Arabidopsis thaliana: one gene and its partner. The protein of the gene in region 2 interacts with the protein of the main gene of each other region in a pairwise test. Each region holds a gene or a part of one and is shown on either strand. Other genes may lie near its edges.

Region 1 (5,057 bases), on a different chromosome or scaffold from region 2:
TTCCATATGAATAAATGTTACTTTAATAGCAAAAATCGTTATCAGACTCGTCTATTCATTAGTTGCGTGTCCACTCTCTTATTATATTCTTATTCAATTGAATTTTTCCAATCTAAAGTAGGTTAGAAAAAGATTGGCAAGATTTGTTTCATGATTAACAATTTAAATAAATAAATTAATTAAATTAACAGACTAAAAAGAGTGAATTAGAAAAATAACTAGAAAAAAGTAAGTTCTTGAGTAGTAATGAAAGTGACAATTGCTAGTAAATAAGTGGTTTATGAAATCATATATATGAAGTGACAATTGCTGTAAATATGTGATTTAATAGCTTTTCATTAAATATCACAACAAAAAATCTGTGAAATGAATCAATAGCTATTAAATCACAAAAGTAAAAAAATCTGTGAAATGAATCAATAATCCTAACTATTAATGGGTTTAAGAAAAGTCCTCGAAATGAATACCATCTTTGACTCCCTCTTTCTTTCTCATTAGGGCTACAGATTTTTGTCTTTAAAAAGCCATTCAAGTTTCAATGGTTTTTCACTTTTGTTCTCCTCCTCCCTTTTTTTCTTTTCAGGATTCTTCTTTTCTATGTTTTATCTTTCATAATAGATCTGATAATTTTGATTTTTCACTATATATATTATGGTTAATACTAGTAGCTTTTTCATTTCAAGTTTTATCCTTCCATTGGTTCTTTCTGAGTCAAATTGTCTCCTGTTTCGAACCATATATAAGTTTTCAATGGTTTTGTATTAACTCAAGTATTCAACATTATGTCTCTCTTTTTCTTGCTTGGATCTCTAATGCTGTTCATATTTTAAAGCATAGGTTTAGGTTAGATGCATGTAACTGCCAATTAAAAGAAGGTCAAGAGTTTTTTGATTGTATGAATATATGAGTTAGTCAAAGCAGATCCACACGATTATATAGAAAAACAAAGGAAGAAGAAGAGGAAGAGCTCCTTGAAGTTCAATGGAGGGTTTAGCAGGGTGAAGTAAAGCTGCTAAGCTATGGATCCCATAAGCCTTATCAAATTCAATATAATTGATGATAAGGTTTTTTTTATGGATGCCATATCTCAGGAGCTTTCACTTACCCCTTTAATGGCTTCACTCTTCTTTGGATTGAAGGGAGCTCTTCATCTCTCCATCCCTATCTCTCTCTCTCTCTATCTTTAGTTCTTTTAAGAATGACTTTTCATTTTTTGTGTTGTCTGTTGCAGGTGTATAAACATGGATGATGGATCTTGAGTAGGATTTTTTATTTTATTTTCTTGTGACATATATGCAATTTTTATGGTTTGTACTTTGTATTTCCATTAGTTTCGTACTTTTCAGTTATGTATCATTGTTAATTCTAATGTTTGAAGACATTTAGAGTTTATACTTCTCTAAATTACTTTTTCGACTCAATAAAGTCGTTTAAGTGTCTACAAGTATATACCGTGTTAATACTTTTCAATTCATATCCACCATTGTATAAAGATATGATCCGCTTTTATTTAAGTGAATCAATTAATTTACAGTATTCCTCTATATCTCTCTCACACTGTTCGAATAAATTTAATACTCAACAGATCTAGTTTGAACTTTTTAAATAAGTTTAGCCGAAGAAAATTATCATTGTTGAACAAACTTATTAAATTCGGATTGGCTTATTTGATGCATCCAGATTGCAAAACTATATTTTTGAATACAGCTGGAAATGTTTTTAAAGTGTAAAACAACGGTATATATATAAGTCAAACTGGTTTTTTTTGTAGATTTCTCTCCCTTTAGCAAGTTTTATTGCTTTCCTATAATCCATAATATTTACATCCAAAACAGCAATTATATAAGATTTTCTGCTATTTCAATACGATGTTATACTATTTCGGCAGATGTACGTACTACATTACATCTAACCAATCCAGATTGATAACTATATTTGATGTAATCTCGAATTAGTCAATCTCTGTACCACATATAAGAAATTTTGCTTTTTTCACAAAAGAGTTGTTAGAAATTTGACCTATACAAAAATAATGACCACGATAAATGAGTATATACATGTACGTAAGATAAATGTAAAGTTGTATATTTGTGCGCCATTCATGATTCATTCCACGTATATATTGTTTGTTCGAATCAAAGCAAACTCAGAAAATGAAAACGCTGAATGACGATAAAAATAGGGACGCTTTTGTTCGAATTAGCGTGCCCATTATGTCACGAACGTAGATTCAAGTCTTGGCCATAAAACAGGATTCCTTATAGCATCCACCAAAACACGAGAAATCATTCTCAAAAACAGTCTCTCCAAATCCGAACTAAACAACTCATAGCCCATATAATAAGGTCTGTAGTGGGATGCGTTTTTGGCTTTTAGAACATACCAATTGGAGAACACGCTTTCTTACACATGGAAACAAATTACGAACGCTTCCACCAAATATGGGCTGAGATAAGCCCATTAACATAAGACCCAGTAATAAATATATAATATGAGCCCATATTAAATGAACCCTAATCCATTTTTAGTTTCTATCATATAAATAGCTTCTTGTGTTTTTCACGCCCTTCTTCTTTGTATTTCCGCCTCCCCCGAGAAAACGAAAACCCTAGTTTCAGAGGCATCTCCAGACACCGAAAATGGCGGAAGGACTCGTTTTGAAGGGCACCATGCGTGCACACACTGACATGGTGACGGCAATCGCCACCCCAATCGATAACGCAGACATCATCGTCTCAGCTTCCCGCGACAAATCCATCATTTTGTGGAAACTCACCAAGGACGACAAAGCCTACGGTGTAGCTCAGAGGCGTCTCACTGGTCACTCTCACTTCGTTGAGGATGTTGTTCTCTCCTCCGATGGACAATTCGCGCTTTCCGGCAGCTGGGACGGCGAGCTCCGTCTTTGGGATCTTGCTGCTGGTGTCTCCACTCGTAGATTCGTTGGACACACCAAGGACGTGCTCTCCGTCGCCTTCTCACTCGACAACCGTCAGATCGTCTCTGCATCTCGTGACCGTACGATCAAGCTGTGGAACACTCTTGGTGAGTGCAAGTACACCATTTCAGAAGGTGGTGAGGGACACCGTGATTGGGTTAGCTGCGTCAGATTCAGCCCTAACACGCTTCAGCCGACGATTGTATCTGCTTCGTGGGACAAGACCGTGAAAGTGTGGAACCTTTCGAACTGCAAGCTCAGATCGACTCTTGCTGGTCACACCGGTTACGTGAGCACTGTGGCTGTATCACCTGATGGTTCTCTTTGTGCAAGTGGAGGCAAAGACGGTGTTGTTTTGCTGTGGGATTTGGCTGAGGGGAAGAAGCTTTACTCTCTTGAAGCTAACTCTGTGATCCATGCTCTTTGCTTCAGTCCCAACAGGTACTGGCTCTGTGCTGCAACTGAACATGGTATTAAGATTTGGGACCTTGAGAGCAAGAGCATTGTTGAGGATTTGAAGGTTGATCTCAAGGCTGAGGCTGAAAAGGCTGACAACAGTGGTCCTGCTGCCACCAAGAGGAAGGTACACAAATATTTTCCCATGATGGTTCAATCATATGCTTTTAATCGATTACAAGTTTTCAGCTTTTGTATAGGAAGAATTTTCTGTAGTTGGTTATGATGTTGATTATGACTTGTGATTAAGTATTACCCATAGCTGAGTATATCATAATTCGTAATGTTGGTCTGTTATTGAAAATGTGAAAGTTCGTAAAAAGTTTCTTACATGGATTATTCTATTCAAATGCTACACGATGATATATGTAAATGGTCTTCTACACTTGGTTTCAGTTTCAGATTCTGCAATTATGTTTGCTTGAATTACCATTCCGTTTGGAGACTTAGGCTCTCTATCTTCTTTATCTGTTTTAATCTTCCATATATAGCAATTACCATAATTGTGTTTTCGCCCCAGTTTGAGCCTAAATTGTCAATTAAGGTTGTCTTTTAATGGTTTTGTGTGTCCATACTCATTGATTACCTGACATTTCTTGTTAGGATCATAGTAGTAGTAATATTTTTCTCCTGATACATAGCCCTTTGTTTGTTGTGTAATAGTACATGTAAATAACCATGGAAAGTGACTGAATTCAATTTGTTTGTTGATTGGGTCAGGTTATTTACTGCACAAGCCTTAACTGGAGCGCTGATGGAAGCACCCTCTTCAGTGGTTACACCGATGGAGTCATTAGAGTTTGGGGTATTGGTCGTTACTAGTAATCTCATCACTTGTGCTGTCGTTGCTCTCTGCTATCTGCTTGTTGGTTTTATCTATCACTTATGTTTTTATCGACAACTCATGAAGTACCTTGAGGTTTTTGGAAGGATGTTTGTTTTCTTGTCAATCTAGGTTTTTGCTTCTTTATCTTATCGTTCGAGATCTTGGTTTTTAGAGTTACTTCTCCCATTTTGTGGCAAATGATTCCCATTAATAATATAGCGAAATGGTGGAATAGCGGAATTCTCTAAAATTTGTAACTTTATCCAATATGACAGATGAACCAAATGATTTTTAACATGTAATAAACTACTGATTTGCAACGAACTAAGAAGGTTATAGACATGAACATACTATCTTTGGAAATGGACATGAACTGCCGCTATTACTGCTGCTTCCTTCGACCAACGAAATTTCGCCACATAGACTGGTAAAGTCGAACAGCCGCTATTACTGCTGATGTGGCATCTGTCGTATTTTAATCACTCCCGCCATTGCCTTTTCGCGCTAAGTTTTTTTTTTTACTTATGCTTTTTTACTCTAGACTGGAAAAACAAAACAAAAAAGGCTATAAAAAGAAAAATAAAGAAGACAAATTCGCAAGAACCCTAAAAAGAAGAAGATAAGAAATCGGAAATGGGCATCAAGGACCTTCTCAGATTCATGAAACCTTATATCCTTCCCATTCACATCCAGAAATACGCCGGGAAACGAGTAATTTTCTCCGACTTGTTTTCTTAATGTTCTCCATTTCCTTCTCGATTTTAGTTTCCGTTAATCGTTCTGGGTAAATCTCCATTAAAAATCAAGTTTTTAAATGATGGGCTTACACATTTTTGT
Region 2 (6,056 bases):
TATTTGTTCACTTCGTGCTACCTATGAATGTACATAAATTTTTTTTAAAAAAATATTTGTTACTAACGATCATATAAGATAGTATTAAGTTATTCAGAAAACATAATTAAAATAGAAATTGAAGGTGTAGGTGTGTGGTTTAGTCATCGATATAGCCAACCAGTGACAACCACCTCGACTCTCTTTGACCTAATTATTTGACCACTCCTTCCACTTTACATCATAAAATCTGAAACCACTTACCATCTCTCGTCACATAGCTAGCAGACGATCGTCTTCATTATGTGGTTGTGACTCTCATTCTAATGTAATCCTGGTAAAAATAGCATGCGAGTGTCTTATCGATCCTCGTTGTTTATATGATTAAATCATTTATTATAAAATAAACAAAACACAACTAATATTTTTTGCATTAAAAATTTAAAATATTTTAGGAGGAGTGATTGTTTCGACGAAAATATATTTTATATAGTATGAACATGAATGAGTAAAAGGTAACTCATTTTGGTGTGTGTGTCAAATTTTGATTTTAAGTTTTTTTTGTTTGTTTGTTAAGTGTATCAACGAATCTCTAGTTCTAGCTTTGATACCAACTGAAGTAGCGGAAGTTTTAATGGATAGAACTAGACATCCGTTGATTCCTCGGAATACCAGAAAACTAGAATTTTTTGGATCTGTTGATTCCTCAGAATAACAGAAACGAGAGAACGTAAGGAATTCGTTGATTCTCTTCGAATACCGAATCCTACATCTTTTTATAACCGTTGAAATCTTTCAAGATCTACCGAAAGCAAGGAATTAGAGAATACTCTTCTCTGAAAAGGTAAAAGCTTAATTTTATTAATCAATTAACTGAATACAATTTTAAGTTCAAAAGTCTTAATTATAATAAATCCAAAATTTTAGAAAATTCATAAAACAATAAATAAAAATTATCTAAATAATTAAATAAAAATATGAGGAAATAATAAAGACAATTTGAAATTATCCAAATATATACTGCATTAGGTAGCATGCGGCTTGCAAGACTATAGTATTTGTTTTAGAAACTATAGGTCTATTAGCTAGACAGAATTAAGAGCTATAGAAAAGTTGTTAAAATTGATAATGCGATGCTTTTTCACATAACTCAAGAAAACCAAATCAAGTTCCGATCCATCATTGTTTGTCGACCAAGGGATGATCAGTCGATAGGTCCACGTACGTTGTTGTTTAAATGAAAATAGTTAACATGGATGTAAATTTAATAAGTAAACAATGAAAATGACAAATGAAGTAGAGAAGATGGAGAAAACAGGACCAAGGGCTTGTAAAAGAATTGCCAAATAAACAACAACGTGGTCCTATCACCTTCTGCTTCTCCCTACGCACCAACCAGTCAACCATACTCAATAGGTTTCATTACAAGACAAATAACACACTCTCTTTTGTCTTTTCTCTTTTTTCGAATGGGAAACACTGACTAGCTTTGTTTGTATATTTAAATCGTTTCTAACAGAGAGAGCGTGGCGAAGTGTGAACACAAACACCTAGAAAGATCTGAGAGTCAATTCTTCTGGGTGACATATGCATGTGAACTGTATGAAGACGCGTTTTGGGGTTTATCGTTTAAAAATCATTAGATATGTGACTGACCAAAGTGTTAATCAAAGATCTGCACCAACACCTTTTACATATACTATATTCTAATACGTAGAGGCAGCGTAGAACACTCTAGAAGAAGTACTAGGTGAATTATGATCGATATGCCATTCATCTGAGAGCAGAGAATGGAACTTTACGCATGTTTAATTAAAACAACTTTCAAACTTGTCTTAAAATATGAAAATTACTAGTTCCTACTCTGATTAAGATAAGATTGGCATTATATTCATATTCTTGTACCTAATATATAATTGAAGCACTTGAACATATTTAGTCATATAGTCTTGAATTTTGTTGTTGTTTTTCCCTTTTTTTGTGGGGTCAAACTGAGTTGCTGTAAATTTGAACATACATATGAATATGCATTTAAATTGTGGCCAACAGTTTTAGAAAACTGTTATCAAATCAAAGATACTTTAAAAATACAAAAAAGTAGTGTAAGATACAAGAAAGAAAAAGTTGCCACTTTCTCATGTCGCATATATATAACGTTTCTCGGAACTTGCATTTTCTCTCTTCTTGTTTACACCTTCCTCGCCTGTTACGAGTAACACCAATATTTGGACTTATTGGATGGTTGCCTTAATAAAAAGGAAAAAAAAAAAGAAAAAGACCCAAGAACACCAAAGCTGTCGTGGGCTCTTATTGTTTATCTGAAACTAAGCCCTATTACTATTGGGCCCAAAAATCAATTACGTAAAAGAGTTTGCCTGTTATATAAGTTGTTTACTATTGTGGCCCAACAGATAAAAAAGGGAATATCCGGCCCATTCTCTTTCATCACACTCCTTGAAGAGGTGATAGGTCATGTAATTTGATTAATTAAGAAAAACGATTGAGTTAGACGAAGAGGCAATGGTAGGAGAAGGATAGTTTGGGTAGACGAAACGGTAGAGTTTTGGTTATTCTCAGATTCTTGTTGTTGAGAGACTGATGAACTACTAGAAAAAATTACCAGTATCTCCCTCAAGGTTAAAAGCGTCATTTACGGTAAATTGGGGAATAAAATGGTAAAGAGAAGGAGGCTTTTTGGTGGTGGGAGTAGGTGATGCCAAAGTAGACGACTACTAATAGTAGTAAACAAAACCTTTGGCTTTAACACTCTCCTCCAAATCCCAGATCTCTCTCTGTCTCTGTCCCGCGGAGTCCCCGAGAGATTGATCACCATCACTTTTGTACCTTCCTTGTACTACCTATGGCGTCTGCTAGCTTCGTTAAGCCTAACACCCTCTCTTCTCCATGGATCGGCCAACGCTCCTTTGCTCACACCTCTGCTTCTTCTTCTCCTCCTCCTCGAGTCTCCTTCGCGATCCGCGCCGGTGCTTACTCCGACGAGCTTGTTAAAACCGCCGTGAGTATCCTCCTTATCCTCTCTCTCTCTTTGATGCTTTATTAGTTTGGATTCGTTTCCGTAATTCTCAAAGTCAAACGTAGAGTGAGATTCTCTGATTATTGCGTAATAGAAAAGCATTGCATCCCCTGGGAGAGGTATCTTGGCGATCGATGAGTCCAATGCAACCTGTGGGAAGAGGCTTGCTTCTATCGGCTTGGATAACACCGAGGACAACCGTCAGGCCTACAGGCAACTTCTGCTTACCACTCCTGGCCTCGGCGATTACATCTCTGGTTCCATTCTCTTCGAGGAGACTCTTTACCAGTCCACCAAGGACGGTAAGACCTTTGTCGATTGCTTGCGCGATGCCAACATCGTCCCTGGCATCAAAGTTGACAAGGTATTTTTTATCCATTTATTCTGTCATCATCATCATAAGTAGTTGAGTTTTTATGTGTGTTGAGTGAAGTGTTGACAATGCAATCCACCGCGTAGGGCTTGTCTCCCCTAGCCGGTTCCAACGAAGAGTCTTGGTGCCAAGGCTTGGATGGATTGGCCTCACGCTCTGCTGAGTACTACAAGCAAGGCGCTCGTTTTGCCAAGTGGTATGTCATATATTTCACCATGTTATCTTACATATGGTATTAACTCTTTGGTTTGATGTGAAAATGCTCTTCCTAGTTTTGATGTTTGTGTGTGTTTGTCTAGGAGGACAGTGGTGAGTGTTCCCTGCGGTCCTTCAGCACTGGCTGTGAAGGAAGCTGCGTGGGGGCTGGCTCGCTATGCAGCCATCTCTCAGGATAATGGTCTTGTCCCCATTGTGGAGCCAGAGATCCTTCTGGACGGGGACCACCCAATAGAGAGGACTCTGGAGGTGGCAGAGAAAGTGTGGTCAGAGGTGTTCTTCTACTTGGCACAGAACAACGTCATGTTTGAGGGCATTCTGTTGAAGCCGAGCATGGTCACCCCAGGCGCTGAGCACAAGAACAAGGCCTCTCCCGAGACCGTTGCAGATTTCACGCTCACCATGCTGAAAAGGAGGGTTCCTCCGGCTGTCCCAGGGATCATGTTTCTGTCAGGAGGACAATCAGAGGCAGAGGCCACACTGAACCTGAACGCCATGAACCAGAGCCCAAACCCATGGCATGTGTCCTTCTCATACGCACGTGCCCTGCAGAACTCCGTGCTCAGAACATGGCAAGGCAAGCCGGAGAAGATTGAGGCCTCGCAGAAGGCACTGTTGGTGAGGGCAAAGGCCAACTCACTGGCCCAGCTCGGCAAATACTCAGCCGAGGGAGAGAACGAGGATGCCAAGAAAGGAATGTTTGTCAAGGGTTACACCTACTGATTTGTTAATTTCAGAGATCGTAATAAGGATTAAGGACCATTGTTGTCTTTTGTTTTTTTTTCCCTTTTTTGTTTTGTCTCTGAGAAAGAAAGACAGTCACGAGTCACGATCATATCATATATGTATGTGAGCAACGTGAAAACATCCTCTTAAATCTATATTTCCTCTCAGAAAGACTGATTACTGTTTGACTGCAAAACCAAATTGTGTAATTCTTCTTTTAAGTTTACAAAATTTTTGGAGGGCGATTAGGTAAAATTGGCATAGTTGCAAGTTCAGTGTTAGAAGAAGCAGCGGAGATCTCTCTCCCTCTTTATAGTTTACTTTTGACTTACAGTAGAGAGAGTTTAGAGTTTTGAATTTGGCTCCGATGACGAATCGTCTTCCTCCTTCGCTGTACGTTCCGCCTCACCAGCGCCTTGGTTCCGATTACGGCTTCAATCCTGTTCCTCTCTCTCCAGTTCGCTATGTCTCCGCTTATGATGACCGCGTTTCCGAGGATCGCCAACCGGTTAACTTCTTCTTCATCTTTTTTTCATGCATCTCTGAGCTTTTTGATTGATGCTCTTACAATGGCGATTCTAGTTTTCGATTTGCTCTCGAGTAGCATTTTATAAAAATCCCTTTATCTTTCTACTGGAACCATATCAATTTGCAGCAGGAGGGTACCTTTCACTGTGCCGACTTGGATGATTGGAATAAGAGATTTTCAATGCTTTTGAAAGATTCTTTAAAGCAAGAAGTTATTTCCAGGGAGAAAAAAGATAGACGGGATTTTGATAAACTTGCTGCTCTGGCTACAACCCTGGGATTGTATAGGTACATCAATCATGCTGCTCCTTTCTTTCTTCTTTCTCACTAGTACAACCATTTCTGTTTCTTTTTTGCAGTCATGCATATGCTAAGGTTGTTGTCTTCAGTAAGATCCCACTCCCCAACTATAGGTTTGATTTAGATGACAAGAAGCCACAGAGGGAGGTATTATCCGCTGCTCCTCACTCTCTTCTCTTACACTTAACGCAAGACGGCTTGTTTTTCTTTAAAGAGCAGATATATACAAAAATATTTACAGGTGAATTTGCATACTGACCTTCTTCAAAGAGTTGAAGCTTACCTCACAGAATACCTCAGTAAAAGCTCTAATAGGATAGATAGAGTCCCTGCCAATTCCGTCTCAAGAACTAGTAGCATTAGCAGTACTGATGAATGGTTTTCTGAGCAACCACTACCCATCTCTGCCACCAAAATTCTTTGGCAAAGGAGTTTGCAGCTGCGTGATCGACAACAATATTGGCAGGTTCTGTTTATATTAGGTCCTTAATATATTCTTCATCTATGCTTTTTCATCGTCCATTTAGTTTTGATGTGTTCCATTGATTAGGCATCCGTAGAAGGCCAAAGAATGTTGGATTCTCGTACAAGTCTCCCTGCTTTCAAGCAAAGGCATTCAGTATTGACAGCTATTTCACAAAATCAGGTCTGCACAGAAGATAACTGGAAGCATGCTTGAGCTCAGTCGTGTGACATCTGTGTCAAATAGAAAATCGAATATCAACTTGACGGTCGTCTTGGTTTTGTATTAGTTCCGATTACCCACATAAATTTTCGTATTGCAGGTTATTGTTATCTCTGGAGAAACAGGTTGCGGCAAGACCACACAAATCCCGCAGTTTATTTTAGAATCCGAGATTGAAGCAAACCGTGGAGCTTTTTCCAGTATCATATGTACTC

Evidence for each region. The genes of interacting proteins can lie anywhere in the genome.
Region 1: the proteins of PDE345 (region 2) and ATARCA interact in a two-hybrid assay, tested with the Arabidopsis thaliana proteins (2 studies listed by BioGRID, with this or other methods).

Annotation. Positions count from the first base shown.
Region 1 is NC_003070.9:6,219,686-6,224,742, forward strand, and holds ATARCA (Transducin/WD40 repeat-like superfamily protein), read left to right. Parts: upstream 1-2,515; 5' UTR 2,516-2,639; coding exon 2,640-3,521; intron 3,522-4,114; coding exon 4,115-4,216; 3' UTR 4,217-4,557; downstream 4,558-5,057. Other genes in the region: AT1G18090 (5'-3' exonuclease family protein), read left to right, coding at 4,854-4,931. UniProt on the Arabidopsis thaliana protein: Major component of the RACK1 regulatory proteins that play a role in multiple signal transduction pathways. Involved in multiple hormone responses and developmental processes.
Region 2 is NC_003071.7:93,275-99,330, reverse strand, and holds PDE345 (Aldolase superfamily protein), read left to right. Parts: upstream 1-2,467; 5' UTR 2,468-2,839; coding exon 2,840-2,995; intron 2,996-3,107; coding exon 3,108-3,377; intron 3,378-3,472; coding exon 3,473-3,582; intron 3,583-3,685; coding exon 3,686-4,325; 3' UTR 4,326-4,604; downstream 4,605-6,056. Other genes in the region: AT2G01130 (DEA(D/H)-box RNA helicase family protein), read left to right, coding at 4,696-4,836, 4,984-5,144, 5,216-5,303, 5,398-5,622, 5,707-5,802, 5,942-6,056. UniProt on the Arabidopsis thaliana protein: Plays a key role in glycolysis and gluconeogenesis.